Linked DNA regions of Styela clava. The protein of the gene in region 1 purifies or fractionates together with the protein of each later gene. This does not show direct contact. Links are inferred from orthologs where the notes say so. Each region holds a gene or a part of one and is shown on either strand. Other genes may lie near its edges.

The links.
Region 2: the proteins of COP9 signalosome complex subunit 3-like (region 1) and DDB1- and CUL4-associated factor 11-like purify together in Homo sapiens (affinity purification with mass spectrometry; 3 studies listed by BioGRID and IntAct, counting the BioPlex papers as one, with this or other methods). This does not show direct contact. The link is inferred for Styela clava from reciprocal best matches to the Homo sapiens genes COPS3 and DCAF11.
Region 3: the proteins of COP9 signalosome complex subunit 3-like (region 1) and DDB1- and CUL4-associated factor 1-like purify together in Homo sapiens (affinity purification with mass spectrometry; 5 studies listed by BioGRID, with this or other methods). This does not show direct contact. The link is inferred for Styela clava from reciprocal best matches to the Homo sapiens genes COPS3 and DCAF1.

The regions. Positions count from the first base shown.
Region 1 is NC_135259.1:8,855,787-8,864,036, forward strand, and holds the start of COP9 signalosome complex subunit 3-like, read left to right. Parts: upstream 1-4,737; 5' UTR 4,738-4,958; coding exon 4,959-5,013; intron 5,014-5,875; coding exon 5,876-6,005; intron 6,006-6,543; coding exon 6,544-6,668; intron 6,669-6,754; coding exon 6,755-6,846; intron 6,847-7,497; coding exon 7,498-7,623; intron 7,624-8,140; coding exon 8,141-8,245; intron 8,246-8,250. UniProt on the Homo sapiens protein: Component of the COP9 signalosome complex (CSN), a complex involved in various cellular and developmental processes.
Region 2 is NC_135258.1:14,058,661-14,067,035, reverse strand, and holds DDB1- and CUL4-associated factor 11-like, read right to left. Parts: upstream 3,321-8,375; 5' UTR 3,168-3,320; coding exon 1,539-3,167; 3' UTR 778-1,538; downstream 1-777. UniProt on the Homo sapiens protein: May function as a substrate receptor for CUL4-DDB1 E3 ubiquitin-protein ligase complex.
Region 3 is NC_135250.1:9,080,825-9,088,352, reverse strand, and holds the start of DDB1- and CUL4-associated factor 1-like, read right to left. Parts: upstream 3,536-7,528; 5' UTR 3,513-3,535; intron 2,682-3,512; 5' UTR 2,662-2,681; coding exon 1-2,661. UniProt on the Homo sapiens protein: Acts both as a substrate recognition component of E3 ubiquitin-protein ligase complexes and as an atypical serine/threonine-protein kinase, playing key roles in various processes such as cell cycle, telomerase regulation and histone modification.

The DNA.
Region 1 (8,250 bases):
CAAAATATAACAAAATTTAGGTAGATAAATTAAATTTAATAGACTTCTGACGACTTCTTCCGTCCAATTATGGTAATCACCAGAATTTACCCCACATATCATATATATATATGTATATATATATATATATACGAAGTTGATTTTAAATATTTGAATTCAGCACACTCTGGGTCTGGAATTCCTGATTGTATATTTCTAAATAAGTAAATAGCTGTAGGAAATATTTTGCTTCCTAAGACATAAAAAAATCACCAATAATTTATCAAATGTACAAACCAGATAAAAAAAAAGCATGCATGAAAGGCAGCATGAAGTTTTGAACATTGGAACTAAAGTGTAAATTTGCAAAAATCACTAAAAAAATCCAAGTTGATTCCGTAGATGTATTTCTTTGATAAGTTTTCTAACATTACTTTTAGTTCGCAAAATATTTTCCGAATCATACACGGAACAATGTATGTTTTACCCGATGGAATTTCAGTTCCGTTTTAGTTCTTTTTTGAGTTGTACACTTTTATATACATTTTAGCTTATTCAGATTCAATTATCATCAAACATCCTATAATGCTGAAATGCATACAAAATTCGAAGTAGATAAGTGTTTTCGCGCAATTCAAAGCCTTCTATATGACGCCATTATATTTTATGGCGTTATTATTAAAAGGCCTATAAATGGCTCAGCTCAGGGTCTTAAATCTCCTAAATCCGGTCCTGCGTCCGTGACAACCTCCGAGTCCGCATGATTGATCTGCGTTGATCTTGAGGTAGGCATACCATACGTCCCGCTTTAGGCGGGACTGTCCCGCTTTTTAGCATATTGTCCCGCCGTCCCGACAAGTCAGCCAAAAGTACCGCTTTGGCGAGCAGCCATCCACGTGAACATGTTCTCGTTACTGTTGTTGCTGTGTAGCGCAACTCTAGCCTACTTACTGAGGGTGAATGCGTTAATTTGTTTGTTTCTCGCTAACATTGTTAGCAAACGTATCACATGCAAAATCAATTCTAATTGGTCCTGTTCGGATGTTCACGTGAATGTAACATTGAACAACGTCTTTTTGAAGGTGTTATCTACAGAAAAGCTTGCATGGGTGAATAAGTAAATTCTCTATGCTTGAAAACGGCAAACTATTTCATATTCTTTATTCCTTTTGCTGTACATAAAAAGATCTAAATTCGGATCATTTGTATCGTTAGCGTATATATATTCATATTCCTTTTTATTTTTCGAACTGAACCCGATATTTAGACAGAGAATATGCGCATGAACTTTCGATGACAATATGGTCAATAAAGACAGCAGGGATGGCTTTAAATGTAGTTCTATGTAGTAAAATCGGAAATTGTAAAGTCACGGGATCACAGCTAGGGGGTCGTGTCTTTGGAGGCATCCCGCTTTAAAGTAACAATATATGGTAACCCCATCTTGAGGGGACACGAAATTTTGATAGATTTCATTTCGATTGATGTTTCTCCGAGCATACGCATTCTTTTCTTACCTTACCCCGTACCCACGCAACAATGACCAATCAGCAAGCTATCAACGGTGACGAAACAATTGGAATTTTAGCAGCCGAGCAGACTCCTTTTTCATTCATATATAATTTTAATAATAGCTGTGGACATTACCTCGTTTTTGTGGTTTCGCTAGTAATTTGTCAGTTTTTAGTTGTGTTTTTTAATTGGGTGCTCCCGAAGTATTCGTACCAACATGGCACACAGCCTGAACATGGTATGTGTACCAGGTTAGGGTTGTTCAGGTTGTGCGTCACCTCATATTTGAGGAGCTTCAATATAGTTGCAGCAGAAAAAAATGTGTGTAAAGGCGTGATTGACCTGGCTAAGGGTGCACGATCTAAGGACGTCTAAAATAAAATCTTTAGTCGTGCTGGCGTGTGTTTTTGTTATTACTTATCGATTTTAAGATCGGTACGTAGGTTGATAGGTAGTTGTATGTCTGTATGTCTGTGTGTTAGATGCGCACGATATCTCACGAAAGCGAGGTTGAATCTGCTCCAAATTTTGCATGTGCATTCATCATAGCTCGGATCAGAAGCCTATTAATTTTATGGAGTATGTCTTATAATTAGCGAGTAATTAATTAATTAGTGATGGGACACACGGTGTCACTATGAGGTAATACCACTGTTTTGGGGGATCCCCTAACCTCGATCGATAAGTCTTCGGTTTCTAACCGATATTCTAGTTTTTGTCTTGATATGTTTACTGTGGGGTTAGCAAATTGATCTGCCAAGAAGCAATACCATGGGACTCAGTAATCGGAAAGAATCGACTCAAACTCCTATTCAATAAATTGGTTAATAATATTTAACATTTCATTAAAGTTCTTGGCGACAAAATAATTCTTCATATAAACATAACTCATGAAAAAACTACTTTCTCACTGGCGTTTGTATTCATTAACAAAAAGTTAAAATCTCATCGGCACTCATAAATGATGGTTATGATTGTAAACGCTATATTAAACATGAGATACTATCTGCGTATTCTATTTCAGTACTATTAGAACGTACATGGCGGAATAAACCCCGCTGACTCCATCAGAGTACAAATAAGCACACAATAGCTGTGGCGACGAATTTTCATATATTATAGATTTTTGCAATCGAATTGAATTGGGGATCGGCAGATTCAAACAATATGTGCATATATTAATTATTGAAACAAGAAAAACTGGTTTCCTAATGTTGGAGAAATGTGCGCTGTTCGTTTTGCTGTTTTTTTGTTTTGTATACCCGTAAATTATACTAAATATCACGTCGTTGTAAAATGTAAGGTATCAAGCCTCGTTGGCTGCGCAGCTGTATCAATTTGATTTCAATTATGTACTTATTTATCTGTTTGTTCAGTTTGAGCGCAAAATTTATACACCACCCATGTGACATTTTAGTTTGGTTAGAATTTTTGACCTAGACCTAGAATTTTTGGTGTATTATGTGTCCGTGTTGGGTGATATCTCTCACAAATCTGAGCAACTATTGACTTGACACTTCCCATTATTCCCCGCCGTCCAAATACCCGAGAAACACCACACAGGTGTCTATCGAAAAGTTTTCTTAGTCGCCTTGCAAGCGTGATTGCTAGAGAGGGATATCTGGACTTCCTTTCATGATAGACACTCTCGAAATAAAATTGTCCGGAAATTTTCGAGACATTGCTTCAAATTGTATCGACTGTAGTAAACAAAGTTGTGATGCAGACGAACTGTCTATTTCAGAATGTTGTATTTAACCTCCTCCTTTAAACACGTCTTACGGTATCTATCTATCAGCGGCAATTAAATAGTAAACGTCACAATTTTGATTTTAAAACCAACCTGCATTAGCGATATCACAAACACGGTTGTGCTGTAGAATCACCACCAAAATGTGCATCTGCTATGTACCACAGGGTGGTCCAAACCCATGCCCACGGGCCACATGTGGCCCGCCGCTTCATTATCTGTGGCCCGCGTAGCTTTCGGAGACTAATCAAAAAATCGCATTTCGTGTCGCTTCGTCATAAAATTAACCAGAAAAATCCATTGACATTTGTTACATAACTAATGTCACTGAATAGACAAGTGTTGCGGCTGGCTGAGGCAACTACCGAAATTGAATGGCGTGTTTGGCAGACTAAATTGTTATCTGGCTTTTTTTCGTTTTGTCCGGAAAAATATGCTAACAATTCTGGCATCATTGAAAACTGAAAATTGAATGCGGATTCTATTTGATTAGCCTAATGACTAATTCTCAGGCTATGCCTGATAACTAAATATTGATGTTATGGCCTAACAATTTAATTCATGCCGGGTGTTTTCCGCAACCAACCTAAACAGTATTACAAAAAATGCTGCCTAAATATTGGAAAATTTAGTAATTACCCTTCTGTACCTTACATTTGGTAATCAATCAATGTGCAGGTATTTTGTAAACATAAGTTTGAAAATAAACCTGACGAATTTGAACAGATTTTTGACTGGATGTAGAGGTAAATACCACAATGCTTGCTTGATATGTCGACAAGTTGTGTCGGTGACAAAAGTATCGAAAGCACTTACATTTGCGGAAGCACTCTTTCCGTTACGAAGAGTTGAAATTCTACATTTTATGTTGATATAGAAAGACTATTGCAGGTTTTAGTAATTTTTTGGGTGGATTTTGCATGGGTTAGCCTGATAAATGACATATGACCAATGGGTTTGCACGATAAAAGTGTTTCATATTGCATTGTTTACCTATTTGTGGCACTATTGTGGCCCGCGAACAATGCAAAAACAATTTTGTGGCCCCCGTCGCCGACAAATATGGACCACCCGAATAATGGGTAGCTTGTCTGACCTGCTTTCCCACTTTTTTCGTTTCGATCATTTTATATTTTGCAATATAATTTCAATTTGTGCAAAATCCCATTATCTAAAAGAATGCTTCCATAATTGAAAATAGTAAATTCATGTAAATATTGTACATAGTTTAAATCGTGAGAGGCATTGATATATTGACACGAACCTGGTATTTTCATGCTTGTTTAATATAATTGGGTGGCAACTGACTCTGATGACCCCAAAAGGTCGTATCGTTGCCCCCCAGTCATATACCAAAAACTATTTTTTTGATATTTGTTTTATGTGTGCATGAATTGTTTTCTTGGTTTGACAAAATGAAATAAACTCTCTCTCTCTCACCTTGATCAGACCCTGATCTACCAGATTCTTTGCATTGCTGAGGTCAAAGGTCTTGCATATTCTAGTAATCTAGTTTATAACCACAGCGCAGCCGGGACTCGTTACGCTGCACTCTTACTTCTAAATTCGAAATATACGGGATCCCAGGACCACCGATTCCGGAACAAAAAAAACTGGACATACTGACATTGACATACAGACATAAGGATACGATAGTCTTCTTTTTCCCCATAAACTGCAGAGCTAACTCTGTAACTGAGGACTGGATTTTAGAAGGATGTCAGGAAATTTGGAAGAATTTGTCAACACCGTGCGGAACTTGTCATCGCAAGGTACGTTATTGGGTCTAGTATAGTTTAGTACCACATGTACTTCCAGTGGGCGTAGCATAACGATTTTTGCATATGTTATTTCTAACCCTCACCTGACTATGCCATCCAAAATTTACGTCACTACGACGTCACCATCACGTCATAGGGATTGCCAAAGTATAATTATGATCGCCCGAAATGGCATCTGCGCCGCCGATAAGAACTTGCTAAAGTAGGCAATCTCTCTCCTATCGTGATCGTTGCGACGAGAAAACGAGAGAAATAGCTTGCTCGATTTCGGGTTATCGTCTGCGCGTTTTGGACGACCATCCGCATACTTCGGTGGGCCTTATTACGCCACTGTGACGTCGGAATGACGTAGTTTTTCGGTGACGTAGTCAGGTGGGGGTTAGGATTGACATATGCAAAAATTGTTTAGCCAGGCCAAGTAGAAGTGGATGTGGTACTAAACTATACCAGACCCACGTTATTCAGGTATTGTACTGATTAGTATTGTATAAACTAGGCTACTTAAAATGGGTTTTTCAGTAATTCCTAAACTTACTGACTTATGGCTGTATGATATCTGGGTCCACGAAACTAGTCTTTTTCATTATTCTGCTAGCCTATTTCAGTATTTGGTGATTAGGGGAATTTCTGAATTAGACTCTTTCTATCTTGAATATCGAAAAAGTTTGAGACAGAAACATCTTTTTTTTATTTTGCATAAATAACAGGTCAAATTCTAAAGTTTCAAATATAGAAATACGCAATACGCTACTAAATCAACACCACATCTTGTTGCTCTTCGTTTCAGCATTTAGTATGCAGAATATCAAATAAGTCTTATATTTTTCTTTGCTTCAAATTGTTTCTTGTTCAGGCCAGTTGAGTCAACTATGCGATCATATGAACAAATCATGGAACCTCCTTGTTAAAAACATTTCACATCTTGATACTATGTTGGAAGCCTTAGATATACAAGAACATACATTAGGAGTATTGTACATCTTGTAAGTTCTATTTGGTATCGAAAAATTTAGCATTTATCCAGATGTTGCATTCTGCTCCATACTCGATTAATTCAAAAAAGATTATAAACTATTTATAAAATTTACCTTAAACATTTTAGAAAATTTTAACATTTTAGAAATATTTGTTAAATATACCAATAATTTGCAACACCTAACACTAATATTTGATGTGGCACATCATTTTACCCAAGTTTAAATATTACAAATCCTCATAACTGCATAAAGAAACTAATGGAAGTTTTTGAATAATTTAAACTAGTATCCACAGGATTCACATATTTATCCTGGGTTGGAGGCAATGAAATGGCTTATCCATACCATGAACCACAGTCTCTCATCCTGTTACAAGTCTATGTTGGGTATGGTATTAGTTAACCAGTTATTTGTTTCAGATGCATAGACTCAATCAATTCTTTAACCTATTGTATTTATGCTTGTCTAAATAGAATAAAACGTTGGTTAGTCGTCAATATGTTTGTGAGCTATTTACAATCACTAAATATATGTTTCATTTCAGATGTGTTAAAGTATCTACATTTCAATCATCCAGTAATCAAGAAGAATTTGAACAATTGCTTCTACAAGTTGATTTGTTTGTGAGTCAGTGTAATAAAGACCAAACAAGATATTCGATTGGAAACTGTATGTACAATATTGCTGAGACATATCATTTCAACTTATCTACGCATATCTACATGTATCTAGTAGAATCAATTTTTTTTTTTCAGTTGCCCAGATGTGTCACACTCTTACTAATGAGTTATGTCAAAGAAATATGGCAATTCGTGGAATCAAACTTATATCCAGAATTATAGAGCAGGTATGCTGATGCCTAATTAGTTCAGATTTTTTTTAATTCCTGTAGTTCTTTAATATTTATGTATACTGTTATTCTGTTATAGTAATTTATCACTATTAATTATAGTGTTGATTTAAACATGGTTTGATGTGCCAAAAAATGAATATATTATTTGATAATTACATATAAATTTTATATGGAATCTGTGTTGAATATCCAGAATACTATATTTGTGTTTTCTTTCTACTCCATGGCATGATTTTCCTCAGATTTTTCTATTTTGGAACCTTTACTACTTTACTTGCCAATTTCCCCATTTTGTCTACATTTAGTGTTTTAAAAAATCTTTGCTTGTGTCCTGTCAAAGTACCATGACTTCAACAGTAGATAAAACGACGCTACAAAAATGTGTGTAATGTGTACCAATATGGAAGTAACTAATTTTGTTCGCCTACTTCACATCAAGTTATGTAAAGGGACTGAAACCTATGGGCAGGGGGTATATTCACTTGACTAACACAGACAGTCTCCGAACTCATAATAGAACTAAAATAAGGGAAATCGAAATAAAATCATGACCTAACCCTAATCTGGTACACACACTATGGGAGTACCGATAAAACATACATATACTATAATATTGTATTTGCTAAGTAAATACATATTTAACAGGTTCAAGAACATCCATCTCAATTGACATCTGTGCATGCTGATCTATGTCAGTTGTGTTTAACTGCAAAATGCCTGAAACCTGCGGCAAAGTATCTTGACATTGAAGTTACAGATATTTCAAAAGAGGTAAGGAGTCTCCATTTACTGAGGGGGGGATATTTGCCGGAGGAAAATGAAAAGTTTGAATTTTTGTTGAATATATCTTAATTCTAAATAAACTATTCCAACCAGTGCTTTCGATTCTATTGGGTGTTTGTTGATAACATTTAGTTCTTTTTACATTTCATTTTCAGCCACTTTCTGTCATAGTACCTTGGGAGTTTTTTCCCAAGAATTTCAGTTATATGTAATTCACTATGTCATAGCTGTTATCCTGATCAAATTGACTTGCTCCCAGTCGATTGAACTACTTCCAGTCTTGTCTCAATTGCATTTGCTGACACATAATGCACTATCATAATTCTATATTACGTAGTTTCAGTAGCTCTTGGGCTTGGCATTTCAGAGGTACCCACTATTTTGCTCAGAGATAAGTCTCCTTACTATGTTTCTTGAGCAAATTTACTTAGGAAATGAACTTCCAAAATTTTGAAATTTTTTGTATTCGAGTTTAACATCTTAAGTCAACATATTATTTTTTCAGAATGGGTTCTATGAATGCAAACACTATTTATCATATTATTATTATGGTGGAATGATTTATACTGCATTGAAAAATTACAAAAGAGCTTTGTACTTCTTTGAACAGGTCTG
Region 2 (8,375 bases), on another chromosome or scaffold:
ACGCTATGATTTTGCATTCATTCATGTACAATTACTGCGTAAAATTGAGTTAAAATTTATTAGTACGGTAGAATATGAATAAGGGTAACACCAATTAATTGTTCCATTCAATTGTTCAAGAGATTAGTAATTAGTCATCATGAACTATAGTTATTTTTGCATAATTAGTATGCATGGTGATAAAAAAGTCCCATAATACGCGACTGTTTCAGAGCACCTTCGTCGAACCCCTGGAACAGCTCCACCGAACCCCAGGGGTTCGATCGAACCCAGTTTAAGAACCACTGATCTAGAGGCTATCAAATAACCGGCAACTACACCTTTTTATAGAAGTTTTATGATAAGACTTTTATTTACAGTCTTTGCTCCTCCACAGAAAGAAAACACCGGGCCAATAAATTTCTTTACCAAGGCAGTAATATGAATGCTGATCATGCATATGATACATGAGCTTATATTGAGTTCAATAGCTCACTTGAACTAAAAATAAATGGTAACCTCAGGACTTCAACTAATAGTACAGAGCAGGGGTGTGCAACCTGCGGCCCCAGGGAAACGATTAATCTGGTACTCTCGAGTAATTGCAATCTTTTTTCTTTGCAAAGTCTGTACCAGAGTCCTATTTATTAGACATGTCTATGACGCATGTTACAGTGCTCTTTCGTGCCTACGACTACTAGAAAGTCTATGTTAAATAAAGGTGCGCGGCCAGTTTGTATCTGGCCCCCTCCTGTATTAAAGGTTACACACCCCTGGTAAAGACTAAATAGCATTGGCTTTCAAGGCCATATGGTATCTTCAGTCCACTCAAAATATTATAGAACAACACTGGTTTGGAGTTGGTCCTCTCCAGTTATTGCTTTGCGAAAGTGAATCACCAAAAAGTACTACAACATTTGAATATAAGTGCAATTATGTATAAATGATAATTATTAAAAATGTAAGAATGAAATTTTAAGAGAAAGGTCCCAAATTAAGAGGTTCCGACTGAAATGGCACATTCTGTATTACCCTAATTGTTGATAGGATTAGAGATTCTATAAAGAGAATGACTTATGGTGCATATTCTGAAGAATGATTTTGATAATATGAAGAATAATATCAAGAAACAGAACATTCCAAACATTTTGCTCTCCTAATTAGTTGTGAAATCCAGAACTATTCTATTTTTGAAGTAACCAAATTTTGTCTGCAAAATAGACACACATTAAAACTTACCCGTAGTTATCTACCATGGGCATATTCAAATGGTAATTTTACTACATGCAAGATATAACAGAGAAATGAGAGAATAATATCTGGGAATTTCAAATTTGGTTCGAATAATATATACCACTTTACCATTCCCAGTAAGCAGATCTCGATTTGGTTAAGAATATCCCTAAATGAATTGGAATTACCTGTGAAAGTGAAAAATTTTCTTTTTAATAAAATCAGTTGAATTGAGCTTTCGTTTCTTTTTCACAAAATCTCAACAGTTCGTACCACAGGAGACTGGAACATAGTTAGTTGCATAACTATTTCTCTAAATAAGCTGCTCAAGTACTTGTATAGTTAGCTCTTGCCAAGCGTGGACTTCTTCTCAATCCATAGGAATGACCATCTTCTTCATCACAATCTTTGCCACCCAAGCGACGTTTTCTGCTTGGTTTTGATATGTCCATTTCAACATCACCCGCTTCTGTTTCATGACTCCATACACTAAAAGTCCCATCCCATGAAGTTGATACCAATTTTGGTTCATAAGGATGCCATGACACATCTCTCACACAGTGCTTATGTCTCTTTATTTTTGATACAATCTCTCCTGTTAAAATGTCATAAATGACGACATTTCCTTTTGAACACCCAGTGTAAATATACCTTTGACCTGTTGTATGCATAGGAGAAAACCTAGCTCTAATAAGAGTATTTGTGACTTCATGTCCATGATATGTTTTTATTGAAGTATCCCCAGCTACAGTCTTTTTTCTGTTACGCTGCCGCCGTGGAACCTGTTGCCAGCGATAATCCCAGGCTTGTCGCGCAACCGCCACTTTGACTGCTTCCTGGGCACCTGCTGATGAAAACTTCCTAACGTCCCAAACTTTTATAGTCTGATCTTTACTGTTTGAAAGCAGATATCTTGAATCGTCTTTTGAATCAATGAAGGTAATCCCATCCACATGGCCAGCAAATGAGCCAACTTTTTGTGGACTATTCTCATGCAACATCCTCCTATCCCAAACATTAACAAGTCCATCATCTCCCCCAGAATACAATATCTGGGATCCTTTATCCGCAAAACGGATTGCATTAATATCATCTTCATGAGCATATATTCGAGAAGTTCTAGAATTTCTATTACGATCATATATATACAAATGGCCATCATTTCCACCACATAGTACTTCATTATTGTCGGCAGAAAACTGCAATGAAAATGCAGCAAAGTTATAATTCTCTGGTCTTAGGTCCATTGCGTGGTGGGAGGATAAATTTACATCTTCGTTATCATATATTGATGCAATATGCAGAACACTGGACCATGTAGTATAAGCAAGGTAAAGTGCATCAGGACTGAAAGCTACATCAAGAATGCTCCACCCTATATCAAGTGCAGGTATATTCTTAAATGGCTTACAAGTTTGCGATACATCATCAAATCTATTTGCATCATACACTCTTAAATGACTATCTTGACAAGCTGATAGGAAAGTGTTTCCATCTTCAGAATAGATACCACAAAAAACCTTTTCTCTTAGAGATACCGAGTTAACAACTGTATTGGGAATTTGATGTGAACAAATAGCAGTTTGGCAACCAGCAGTGAAAACATTTTTTCTCTTGGCCCCACAACAACTAAGTTCTCGTTTCCAAACTGATTTTACAATACTTTCTTTGGAATTTGCTTTAGTGTTTGCTAGTCTTCCAGTATGAAGAAGGACATCTTGTGTTAAATCGCTTTCTTTAATAGTGTCAGGCTCTTCTAAACCTGCTTGATTTTCACTGGCGTCTTCGTCATCTTCATCAGAGCCTTCACCAAATCGATTTATAACACCTTGACTGAGACGAACTTGGCCACTGCGTAATAGTAACGCAAGGACTACAGAAAGGTCAGGTTCATCATTATCATCATATAAACTTTCGTACTGGACTTCCTCCTCAATCTCTTCCTCCTCTTCCATGTTACGGTTTGAACTTCGTGAGTTACCAATTTTGGTTTTCTGACTTTTTCAAAATATCACATTAAAAGTCGCTATGTCATTCAACATAACCAAAAAATGTCACTTGGTACTTGGTAGCATTACAATTAATTAATCATAATATTCATAACCTATGATACTGTATGAGAAATAAACCATAATAATATGATACAAACTAGAAATCAAGTGACTGGAAATGCCTATATTCTGATATTACTGTATTATATGCAGTAAAACCACAATACTATGAAAGTTACTAATGGCAGAATGGAGTAATTTTAATGCAGTATGTAATGTATCTAAGCTTTGTCTTTTATATCAAGTTTTGATACACTTGCAACACCACTGAAAGCCGCAGGGACATACAAAAAAGCATTAATCCTGAAGTCTGGTATCCAAGTGAAATTTGAGCTAAACACTTGGTCAATAGCCTATACAAAATACGAGTATTAGCATTACATTTTTGATAGTTTCAAAACTTTATATATTTAAAGAATTTTCCCAAACTTATCTACTCGATGATAGAGTCTGCAATAAGGAAACACTTAAATGTGGAAAATACATGCAAGAACTGAAAAATGAGGAAGATATGCCAACATGATTATATAAAGAACTTTTTGATCTGTATGACAATGAATCTCAACAATTTATTTAAGATTACAGAACTAAAAGAAGTACTTACAGTGTGGCGCTATAGGAATACGCTCGCCACCACACCTCTGATTACCCTGCTTGGATTTGAAACCCATGGGAGATAATTATGTGCGAGAGAATTGCTGGACTCCTCCTCACTGTAGTCAGGTCTGCAGGTAGGGTCTGGTACCGGTATAGTTTAGTACCACATGCACTTCTAGTTGGCCTGGCTCAACAATTTTTGCATATGTCAATCCTAACCCTCACCTGACTACGTCACCCAAAAATTACGTCATTTCGACGTCACAGTGGTGTAATAATGCCCACCAAAGTATGAGAATGGTCATCCAAAATGCGCAGACGAGCACCCGAAATCGAGCAAGCGATCTCTCTGGCTTTAGCGAGTTCGTTATTGGCGGCGCAGATGTCATTGGCAAGACCTATGAGTCATAGGCTATGACGTGATGGCGACGTCATAGACTCATAGTGACGTAATTTTTGGATGGCATAGTCAGGTCTGCAGGTGGGGGTTAGGAATAACATATGCAAAATTCGTTATGCTACGCCCACTGGAAGTACCTGTGGTACTAAACTATACTAGACCCGTCAGGTAGTAGGGTGGTGGTAAGTGATCCCCTTAACCACTGACATGCAGACATCTGGACATGAACTGGTAACCGGACGAGAGGCCGTGGTTCGCCATATGCTTAAGAAGTCTTATCGGATTTCCTCTCCTCCGAGATAAATATGTAAATCCTGTCCTACTTACAGGGATAAATAATGGGACGCAAGATTCGTCAATCCAGTAATTTCGGCTACAAATGATAGATACAGTAGGTACCAGTACCGTATTTCAGTTGTTCTCCAGACTCCCTACAGCTGTGTGTAATGTTTGCTCGTGTTACGTAAAATTAGAATAAAGTACAGACACTGCATTGCAGTCCTGTAGAGCAGAGGTCCGCAATTAAATTTTGGCGCGACCCTAAAAATAATATTTTAATTTCTCGCGAACCAAGCATTTGTTGAGGAGAGGCGGACAACTCGACTACACGGACAACTCGACTAACTAGAGGCCTTGTGAGTTGGCCGTCTTTTGGCATTTTCTACGGTGGTGTTTTAGGTCTAGGTAGTCGAGTTGTCTCTGGTGAGTTGTCCGTGTAGTCGAGTTGTCCGTCAGCCTTGTTGAGCATATAATTTTTTTTAAATACTTTGTAACTGAATATCAATGTTAATATTATTATTGAAAGTAGCAATTTTCTTGCACAAATTCTGAAATTGTATAAAACATGGGGCAAGAGGTATTTCAATGAAAAATAACGAAAAAAATTTGATTTGAAACAAGCCCCGTTTTAAAACTGACTGCTCCTCAGAGTTGATAGAAAACAAAACTCTAATTATCAAGCAGTTCCACACAGCTGCTCCTAACCTGGCATTGCTACGAAACAATGCAATTGACTACGTACCGGTAGGCGGTACAGTAGTAGGCTAATGAGTATGCAAACAACTATACATGATAATTATAATTAGAGGTTTATAAAGTTGTACCTGTAGTTCAAAAAACACAGTACACAGACGCGATGCCTAATATTTATGGCAAGATTAACGTGTTGCGACCCAGAGTGAAAGGTCTCGTGACCCAAATGTGGGTCAATGGTCGTAAGGCACTATTTGCGTACCCCTGCTTTAGAGTGTAGGTAGAAGCTGCTCGCGAAGCGATTGAATTGTTCCATTGTCATTCCATTAGAACGCACTATCCCATGTTTATAGAAACACAGACGATACATATCCATTGGGAGCGGTGCGATCACTTTTGCGACGATTTAACCCCCGTGCAAACCAGTTATAGACACTTTGGTGCAAACAGGATTGAACAGAGGATGGTCATGTTTTCGAGAATATATTTTATCTTTCCGCGACATGTCGCTGGTAATCAGTAGTTTATTTCCCGGCCAATGTGAATGTGACGAATGCGCCAATGTGAACGTGATGAATCCACAAATTTAACTTCTATATTATTGTAAACTTCGGACGTCTCCAAATTTTTTTTTAACTACGAAACAGAGTACGATCTGTCTCGGATCAGTGCTACATTGACACGCCATATCCGAGTCGTATCGATAATAAGCTTCTTAAACATGTTTCCGGGTAGACATTCATACATGTAGGGCTCCCGTATACGAGATGTAAGACACCACATTACTTCCACCCAGGGCTTCCGCGTATGCTACGCATGGCATAGCACATAGTTAGTTAATATATTATCTTTTAATGCTAACAAGACTAAATTTGTATTATTCCATCCAAGCAAGCATAGTGTGTGAGTTGTACAAAACCACTGCTGCTCAATGGCAATGAAATTGAAAGACTGAAAGAAATAAAATTTCTAGGAGTTATCTTTGATGAAAATCTGTCTTGGAAATCACAAATATTGCATGTTATTGGTAAAACAAAAAGAGACTTGGCAGTTGCTGCCAAAGTATCCCAGTGTGTTATTCAATCAGCTTTATTAGCAATGTTTCAGTCACTACTACTCAGTCACATCCGATATTGCTGGCTCCATGGTAATAAAACACTTGTCTTAAAATTGCTAGGTATTTGTAATAGTTCTTTAAGAATTAATATTAGGAAAAGTAAACGTGAAAGTGTAAACCATTTCTATAAAGCTGAAGATATAATGAAATTTGAAGTATTATCATTAGTCTATGATTTTCATAACAATTCCTTGCCCAACTGCTTCGACGACATACTAACTAAAATTACTTCCAATCGAAGAAGTAGTTCCAATTTGTTCATACCTTTTATGAGTACATCTGTGTTATACTGGGCCCAAGCTGTGGAATTCTCTTCCCTTGAATTTGAAAACATTGAAATCCAAAAAATCCTTTCAGAAGAAATTGTCGAGTTCTACTTGGTATTCAAATATCAAAAGGTAATATTTCAAAACCACACTGATATATATTTCTCGTATGTAATTAGCTACAACCTCCAAAGAAATACCATGACATAAGTTGGGACAGTACTCACTTGCACATACTTATTATTTTCATGAGAATGTTGAACAGTCATAATATTGTTATTGTACCTGAGATTGCTAATTTATTTTTGAACAAGCAGTTAAATTCTCTTCATCTGTTTGCATTCTAGTTCGTCATTTAGTTTGTTCTATAGCATGTATAGCATAAGATTTTTCTTCATATGGCTGTTCACATTCTGACATCTGCATGCGCATGTTTCCTTTTTTTCAATGTTGGGTTTCAGTGATGGGATTCGAATTTTTTTTCAGCCGGTTCCTTCACAAAAGCCATATTTTTCAGCCGGTTCAGTTACAAACAGAACATTGACAGTAACCAGAAATGCTAACCGGTTCGCTGATCTAACAAAATTCCCTGAGACGGTTCTATAGAACCGGTGCGAATCGGCAGAATCCCACCACTGTCTACATGTATGATCTTTGTTTTCTATTTGGGTGGTGTGATTCTTTGTGAGGGTTGTAGACGGTATAATTTAGCTCCTGTACCAATTATTGTAATTAGGTCACCAGTCGAGTTATATTTGGATTCTCCCCTACATTTTAACTTGCTGTAGTAGGCTACTATATGCTGTGTCCTGCGTATATACAAAGATTTTATCCTTGGTCGAAGTTATGCTGTGTAGTTAGAGCAGTGTTCTCCAACCTTATTAATCGTGGTATACCTTTTACATTTTTCAAGAACTTTGTATACCTTACAAATACCAATGTTTATTTGAGGCTTGAATAAACATTCAATTTTAAGCACATATTGTACTGCAATATAGTCATGCAATCTAATAGGCCAGTGTCCGTAAGTTATGAATTTGACTGACGGCCTTAGCGTCAACGGGAATGATGTGCAACGTATATCAAACGAAGTGCAAGGCAGTTGGAATCACCAACCCTATCTATAATGTGATGTAACAATGTGCTCACGTCGGTTCTTTGCTGAAATGGTATTCTGTATTTCATGTGGGCTGCGTTTGTATTGTTGTCTCCGCTTGAATATTTTCTAATTTATTATATTAAAGTTTGGAATCCATGACTTAGGCTGTACACCCTTCGTATACCCTTTATCAGCTGTATACCAAACTTATTGTCCGGTATACACTTGGGTATACCCAGTGGTGGGATTCAAATTTTTTGTCAGCCGGTTCCATCACATATTTTTCAGCCGGTTCTGTTACAAAAAGTTATGTTTTTCCCGTAATGCTAACCGGTTCGCTAATCTCATAAAATTTCGTGGGACGGTTCTATAGAACCGATGCGGACCGGCTGAATCCCACCACTGGGTATACCGTATACCCGGTTGAAGACTACTTAGTTAGAGCATGCAAATTTGTGATGGTTAGTGTGATGTTAATAATTAAGATATTCACATACATGAGTGTGGTTTGACCGACATCGAAATGTGTTTGCATGGTTTGTGAACAATTTGTCTTGTGTCCCAACCACAACACCGCCACCTTATTTTGTCCCTCATATGTGTTTTCGAAGATAGCTTGGCGATCTATACTCAAAGTTTTTCCGGTTATGATTTGCGTACT
Region 3 (7,528 bases), on another chromosome or scaffold:
AGAACCTCTTGTGAAACTAATTCGCCTGTTCACACTAGAACTGGCATCACCACTGCCATTATTTCGGTGCTCAGATATTCCTGAGGAAGCTGCTCTTGGTCTGGATTTTGGCGTCGAAAGGATGCTTTTTTGATTGTCTGCGAATAAACAAGCATCTCTAGCAAGAATTTCTGCTGCATTATGCAGCTTTGACCAAACTAGATGATTATGAATCATTTGAAGAACTTCTTTATTTTCATATTGCATGTGCGTTTCAGAAACAATGTGTGATATACGAATTGCATCTAAATCCAACTCCAAATTCATTGGCCTACCAGAAACTTTTTCTAAAAGGGCTCCCATACATTTGCAAAATTTTGTATGCAATCGTTTTTTGTAGTGAAGAACTGGTTCTCTAGCAACAGATTGTACTTGTCCACCAATAAAAAATGGCAATTTTGACATAATTTGAGCAATTGGTTTATAATTTGATAATCCCAATAGCGCTTTGCATGCAAAATATCTCACTTCATCTGCATGCAAAGCAGGTTGATTTATGACTAGTAATGAGAGAAGAACAGAAATACCATTATTATATTGAACATATTTCCACACCATTTCCCTCTTTTCTGTTTTAGATTGTGAAGATTTGGAACGTGGTGTATCTTGTGGCCCAGGTGTTGATTTACGATGATCAGTTGCATAATCCCTCACACAATTCACAATTACAGCAAGAGCTGACTTTTGTGTTTCACCTTCAACTGCGAACAGAGTTCCCCCTTTTGCTATATCCAACATTATACTAATACCGGTAAATTTTTTATTGAGAGTGTGATGTTTACACAAAGTCAATTGCGGTGATGGCAAGAGAGTTACCACGGCAAGTACATCCAAAGCTGAACGTATAACTTCTATTTGGCCTGTGTAAGTCACCCAATCACATGCAATATCAATCACTTTCACCATCAATGCAATTCCATCTAATCGATAAAAATTGAGAACAGGTAGCCAGTTACTCATAGATCGAAAGCTGGCATCAGTAACTGAGATTTCACCGAGAACTTCAAGATTTTCAAAGAATTGTTCGCGACTGGAAACCATTGGTTTATATTTTGATACAGATTCCACAATGGTGTGTCTTTCTTTGGATTTTGGAATCGATTTTTGAGCCGAGCAAACTTTAATCTGCAAATGAGCTTCAAAGTATTTTTTAAGTGCTGCACAAACTGTTCTTGTTGTTTGGCGCATGAAAAGTCTATTGGCGTCTTCATCAGGATCATAGTTATCATCTAGTACATTAATAATAATTTTTGACATACTTATCATATTCATAAGGCAACGTAATCCACTCATCTTATCAAAAAGCTGTAAAATCACTCGGAATGAGAAAGAAAATGAGAAGAACAATGCCGCATGAGATCGACCAGTTTCGTGAGAGCATTCCAGCAACCAAAGAGCATATTTCACTAAATCACTCAAAATACGAGCAGGCAGCTGACAAGCTCTTTCCATTGCATCTTTTTTGTATGCTAAGTAATAAATACATAGGGAAACACCTGTTGAACCCATTGATGGTCTTTGAACGGATAAAAGATTCTGTATTCCATTTAATTCAATGAATTCCGTGGCTACTTTATTGTGACACAGAAGAGATGCCAAAAACTCTAATGCTTTGAATATTAGTAGTCCATCAAATTTCTTTTCTTTTATGTAAATATTAATTAATTCTAGTGCTTTGAGTTCAAGGAAAATTGATAACAAATCCTGATACTCTCCCAAACATTTTAGAAAATCAAGAATAAATCTTTGGCAGACTTCTGAATGTAGAGGAGGTTCAAGGCTGTAACTGCATCCTATCATCGCAGGCATTTGCTCAGACCAGCTACTGTTACTCAGGTCATTGTCGTAGTAATCGCTCGTAAAATGCATTTCGCCATTCGGTGCTGGGGAATGTGTGCTCGTATGCGGTTTTTCACTGAATATTCTTTTTAGTTTTGGGGCATCTGAGCTGTTTGATAACTTGCGTTTTTGTGAGCGAGATTGTGAAGAAGTCTTAACTCCGATAGAAGAATCAACTTTAAAAGTAGATCCATCACATTCTGACTCTGGAAATTTACCAGGTCTAACATGGTTCCATAATCTTTTGAGCAAAATTGATATCATTCTTATATATTCATCATTAGAAGTTTTCTGGGGTTCTATGGCACCAACAAGCAAACCTGTTGCATATGTCCTTAGTGGCTCATCAGCGTCTGTTACCCATTCAGAAAGGAGTTTGATTAACCATTCTTTTTCTTTGAATAACGTATGAGGCTCTAATCCAGGTAAAGCGGCTAAGAGAAATCGTGCAGAGGCTAACGTAATTTGAGATGGATTCTTTGGATTTGTTGTCACACGAAAGTAAGATGATGTAAGTTTATCCATGAAATCATGCGACTTTGAGAGAGAAACAAGTAACTTTCCAAAAACACATCCAGGTTGTGCATATTCAGGATGACGCTCATCAAAAGGGTCAGGATCACCCTTATGAAATTCTATTGTCTCTTCTTCGAAAAGTTTTGCGCAGTCAGTCAAAAATGGCACTGGATCATAATCGCTTGATTCGTGATTTGACTTCCATGCTTCAACTAATTCAGAAAACTGCTTTTCAGCATCTCTAGCACTAGTAGTAGTATTTTCCATTACTTATAATCAGTATAATGCTGAAAATCAAATATATGTGACTGCATGTATGTATTTATAAATGAGTTATGGTCACATAATATTCAATGATAATACTGATTCTAAGTTCATACAGTTGCATTGGTCATTTACGCTCTTTTCCTGCAGTATAAGTATTGCTACTTAATAAGAAAAGGCAGGATGTAACAGGAATACCACAAAAAGGTAGAAGTGATTGACTGACAGATTGGCCAGATGTAATTTATAAATATAAGCAGGCTATACAACTGACATAGGCTAACTACGGCCAGCAGGCCAAATCTGGCATGTTGGATAACTCAATCTTGCCCGCCTGGTGCTGCCACAGCCAAACTAAAACCAAATTTTCATGTGTCAGCTCAAAGAATTTGTTGAAATTGCAATTGAATTTAGTATGACACGAGGCTTATTGTTTTCCACTTTCGCTTTTGTAACACTGTAAATATTGTTCATAAAATGTAACTTTTACCGGTACGTCACACTTACATCAGTACATGCAGACATGGCTGCCGGTCTAGGCAGCTAGGTGCAGATTTTATTACCCAGGGCAAAAAACTTTGCTCACCCCTGCTATACAACAATGTTAAAATTATACCGGTATCATATCCAAATCATTTTTTTTCAAATACAGAAATACATAGACTACTAGACTATGAATGATTTTAAGCAAAATTGCCTGTTTTTACAGTAAAACGCCAAGTTTTTTGCCAATATACCGTATCCTGTGAATTTATTCAATGAAGATCTTTTCAGAATAGCCTACTTGACACTTTTTTTTTCATAATTTTCAAAAGCCCTCACACTGTCACAGTATTGCAGTATATTAATCATACCTGTTATTTTGTCGTTGCATGCGAAATTACATTATGATTAACCGTGTATCAGATCAGCCATGTGCTCATATAACAATAATTCATTTCCTTGCCTTGATTTAAAAAAATATAGGATTCCTATCAATTTACATTCGAAAATTGTACGCATACCGGCATACTACTTACTAGTATACATACGGCACGAATACAGTACTCAAAACTCAGCTTACGCGATCAGGTGCGATACAGTGAGATGTGAGCGATGTGTGGCTCATCGTGCTAGAGGCGCAGTTCTTACCACTTCATGGCAGCTCCTGCCACGAACGTACCACGCCGTCTCCTGCCATGGTTTTATGGCGCTATTACCGGTACATTTACAAATTCATGTACCATATTTAAGTTTATCATGCGAAATTATATCTACTTAAACCCTAACCCTAACCCCAAATCCATCCAAACTGTATCCATAAGAAAAACATTCCAACTCACTAAATATTTATCTCCATCAGCAGATTAGGGGCAGCCCTGCTATTACAGCCGACCTGCCGTGGTTACGGCAGTAAAATTGGTGGTATTCGATTTGCTGCCGTAACCACGGCAGCTCGCTATTGGTTTGTGGCAGCTAAAAAGTCAGTCGCCGTGGGTTTGGTCTTAGTGGCCGTGGTTTGGAAATCCCGCCATGGTTTTGCGGCAGCTGTAGACGCCACAAAATACTTGAAACTGCACTTGTCGTGCTAAGCGTCGGTCGGTTACCGGTACGGCTTTCTCCACCATCGAGTCCATGCTTCGGAAAAACAAATACCTGACTTGTCCCATACCTGACATGGAATGGTAACCGGACGAGAGGACGTGGATCGCCATATGGTTGAGCCGTCAAATCGGCTTTCCTCTGTCCCGAGATAAATATGTAAATCTTATCCTCATCGTTGATTGTTCTGGTGTTCGACATCCGCGATTGGTGCGCCATTACTGTACTGTACCTAAAAGGTCTGAGGAAAGAGTGTTCCCAAAGATGAAAAGTTACAAAACACTGAAGGACTGAAGAAGTTGATAACATTTCTCCCGACAAAGATGGAGTGGTTTAAGACTAGGTCCCCAAAAGACTGTGGCCTAAAAGAAAGAAGTGAAATTTCTTCCGACCGATTGAAGTCACTAAAAAGTAAAAGTGGATGAAATTTCTTTTGACGCAAGATGAGGTGGTTGAAGTGCGCCGGCGGTGGCGCGGCGGTGTGGCTCAACGGGCTAAGCGTTAGGAATACGCTCGCCACCGCACCTCTAATTACTCTGCGTGGGTTCGCAGGTTCGAATCCCATGCAGGGATGGTTATGTGCGAGAGGATTGCTGGACTCCTCGCCGTCGTTGGGTGGTTCACGTAACCGCTGGTCGGTTACGGCTTCCTCCACCACCAAGTCCATGCTTCCGAAAACAAACAATACAGTAAAACTAATCCCATACCCGACTTGGAATGGTAACCGGACGAGAGGCCGTGGTTCGCCATATGGATAAGCCGTCTTATCGGCTTTCCTCTCCCCCGGGATAAATATGTAAATCCTATCCTAAGTGGGCTAATTCGCCATGCAATGGCGGCGAAAGGACTAAAGCAGCGGTTCGCAAACTTTTTGTTCGTGCGGCGCCAAATTATCAGAAAAAAATTCTCGGCGCACCTACCGTGTTTCTCCGAAAATAAGACCTACCCTGAAAATAAGAAAGTCTTACCTACCCTGGAAAGTCAATAACGCGAATTAATATTTTTAAATAATTTTTTGATTATTATTTTGATTTTTATTTATAAGTGAATGGATATCGGTTTCCATATTATGTATATTTGAAAATCTCGTAATTCTTTATTTTGTAATTTTGTTTTTGATAAATGAAAATAAAAGACACTCCTCGAAAATAAGCCTGAGTGTTATTTTTGGAAGAAAGTTGAAAAAGACCTAGTCTTATTTTTGGGGAAACACGGTACATGAAAAAAAATTGCTGCGTTTAAATAAAACTAATAGTTGTGATCGTTAATGTGCACTTTATATCTTTCCCCGAGCATCGACCTCCTTGTTTACTTCGTGACATTGGCAAATCAGCAAGATGCAAAAAGTGACGTAACAATTCTCCCTTTTCGCATCCGCTCAGACACTTTTCTCACTCAGACAGATTTTCAAGCGTGGTCGTAAACATTACCTCGTTTTCGCGTTTTTGAACGCTATTCATTAGTTTTCAGTGTGTTTCGAAAACTTAAAATATAAATCAGATAATTCAATGATTACCCTATCTTCCTAGAAGTTTTAAATTAATTGCAGTAATAAAAAATTAGTGTATAAATAGCTGTGATAAACTAGGTTAAAATTCTTAATCGCTACTTTTAAAAAACAGATTGTTGTATGCGATGAATCATAATGATGGTTTGAAACACATACCCCATTTTGCAGGCGCCAACTCGCAAAAGCACTCTTGAAATAGCCCCGAAATCACTTTTCGGGGGTCAAATCCACAGAACCTGATTCCGTATAGAAGAGAGAGAGAGATATTCATTATTTTGTCAACCAAAATACGAACAGTCATCAATAAGAAAAAAATGTAACAGAAATAAAAATTGCTTTGGTATGTTTAACCGTAGTAGTATTAATTTACGCTTCAACCGGTTTATATATTTACGGTTTATATTTACGGTTTAACACAATTTTGTTAATTTTCGGGCGCACTTAGCAAATCGTCGCGGCGCACTCTTTGAAAACCGCTGGGTTAAGGGTTAAAACTGAGGTTTTTTTTTTGTTCTAAAATTATTTTAGTGGTGATTATTCTACTTAAAACTGCAATAGAGTGTTTTTGATACTGAACTTCAGTGGGCGCCGATTTGCAAATTTCACCTGAAGAAAAAACAATATAGGACTGACGATATTACATATTGTATTTATTATAGATATTTTATATTTTGTATTCGAATTTTTTTTGACATGAGTGATATTTTTAGTATTTCAAATGAAAATCGGGCAGACATGAGAAAGAGAGTTGACCTTTTGCCCTTATTCTTTGTTAGGCCCACATATTTACAAACTTTACACAAAAGTACTTTACACATTGACGATCACAAATTTGCTACAGGGGTGGTGACTCCTCTGAGGTCCATGGGCCGGGGCCACGGCCTATCTAATTGGGCCACATGGGCCGTGGCCCATCAAGCTATGGGCCGCGGCTCATCAGAAAAAATTCAATTGTCTTACCAAAATTTTCAATTCTTACAAAATTGTCAATATTCGAACCAAAAAAAAAATCGCGGGATGCCACCAAACCTTTTTCTTACGATAAGCCTTTACATAACAAGAGAGCTATGCTCTATATGGACACATAGCGCCACCCAGTGGGAATAATTTTGATGAGGTCATAACGAAAAAAAAAGAAGTCGGCCTTCTGGAGAAAAATTTTATCTTCAACCACTAAAAATTTCAAAGCAATTGGTCCAGTATTCGAAGAGAAAAGCGATTTTTTCAAAACGTGTCAAAGAACAAGGACACTAAGAACAACAATGAGAACAACAACAACACAATATTGAAACGATCGCTATGTCCACTACGTGTCCAAAAATAAAGCAAAATACTAAGCTACAGAAAAGGATACACCTGAAGTATGTGTACCAGGTTAGGGTTAGGAACTTAGGACAAAATTTTGTTCAAACTTTTCACATTATAATTCTATTATAAGTTCGGGAAGTGGGTAGGATTTAGGTAGGATTTACATATTTATTAGTCTTTATTATTTCATCCCATTACACAACTTGATGGGCCGCGGCCAATAGCCTGATGGGCCGAGGCCCATTTCGATGGACCGTGGCCCCGGCCCATGGGCCGTAGAAGAGTCACCACTCCCACTCCAAATTTGAGTTTTATTTGAAAGCAGCTTTTTATTTTCGTGTGAGTGCGTAGTAAGTTTTTTCGCTGATAATTTGGCGCCGCACGAACAAGAAGTTTGCGAGCTGCTGCTGTGCCTAATGTATAGAGAGAGAGAGAGAGAGAGAGATTTATTGCCACAAAAACAAAATCAAC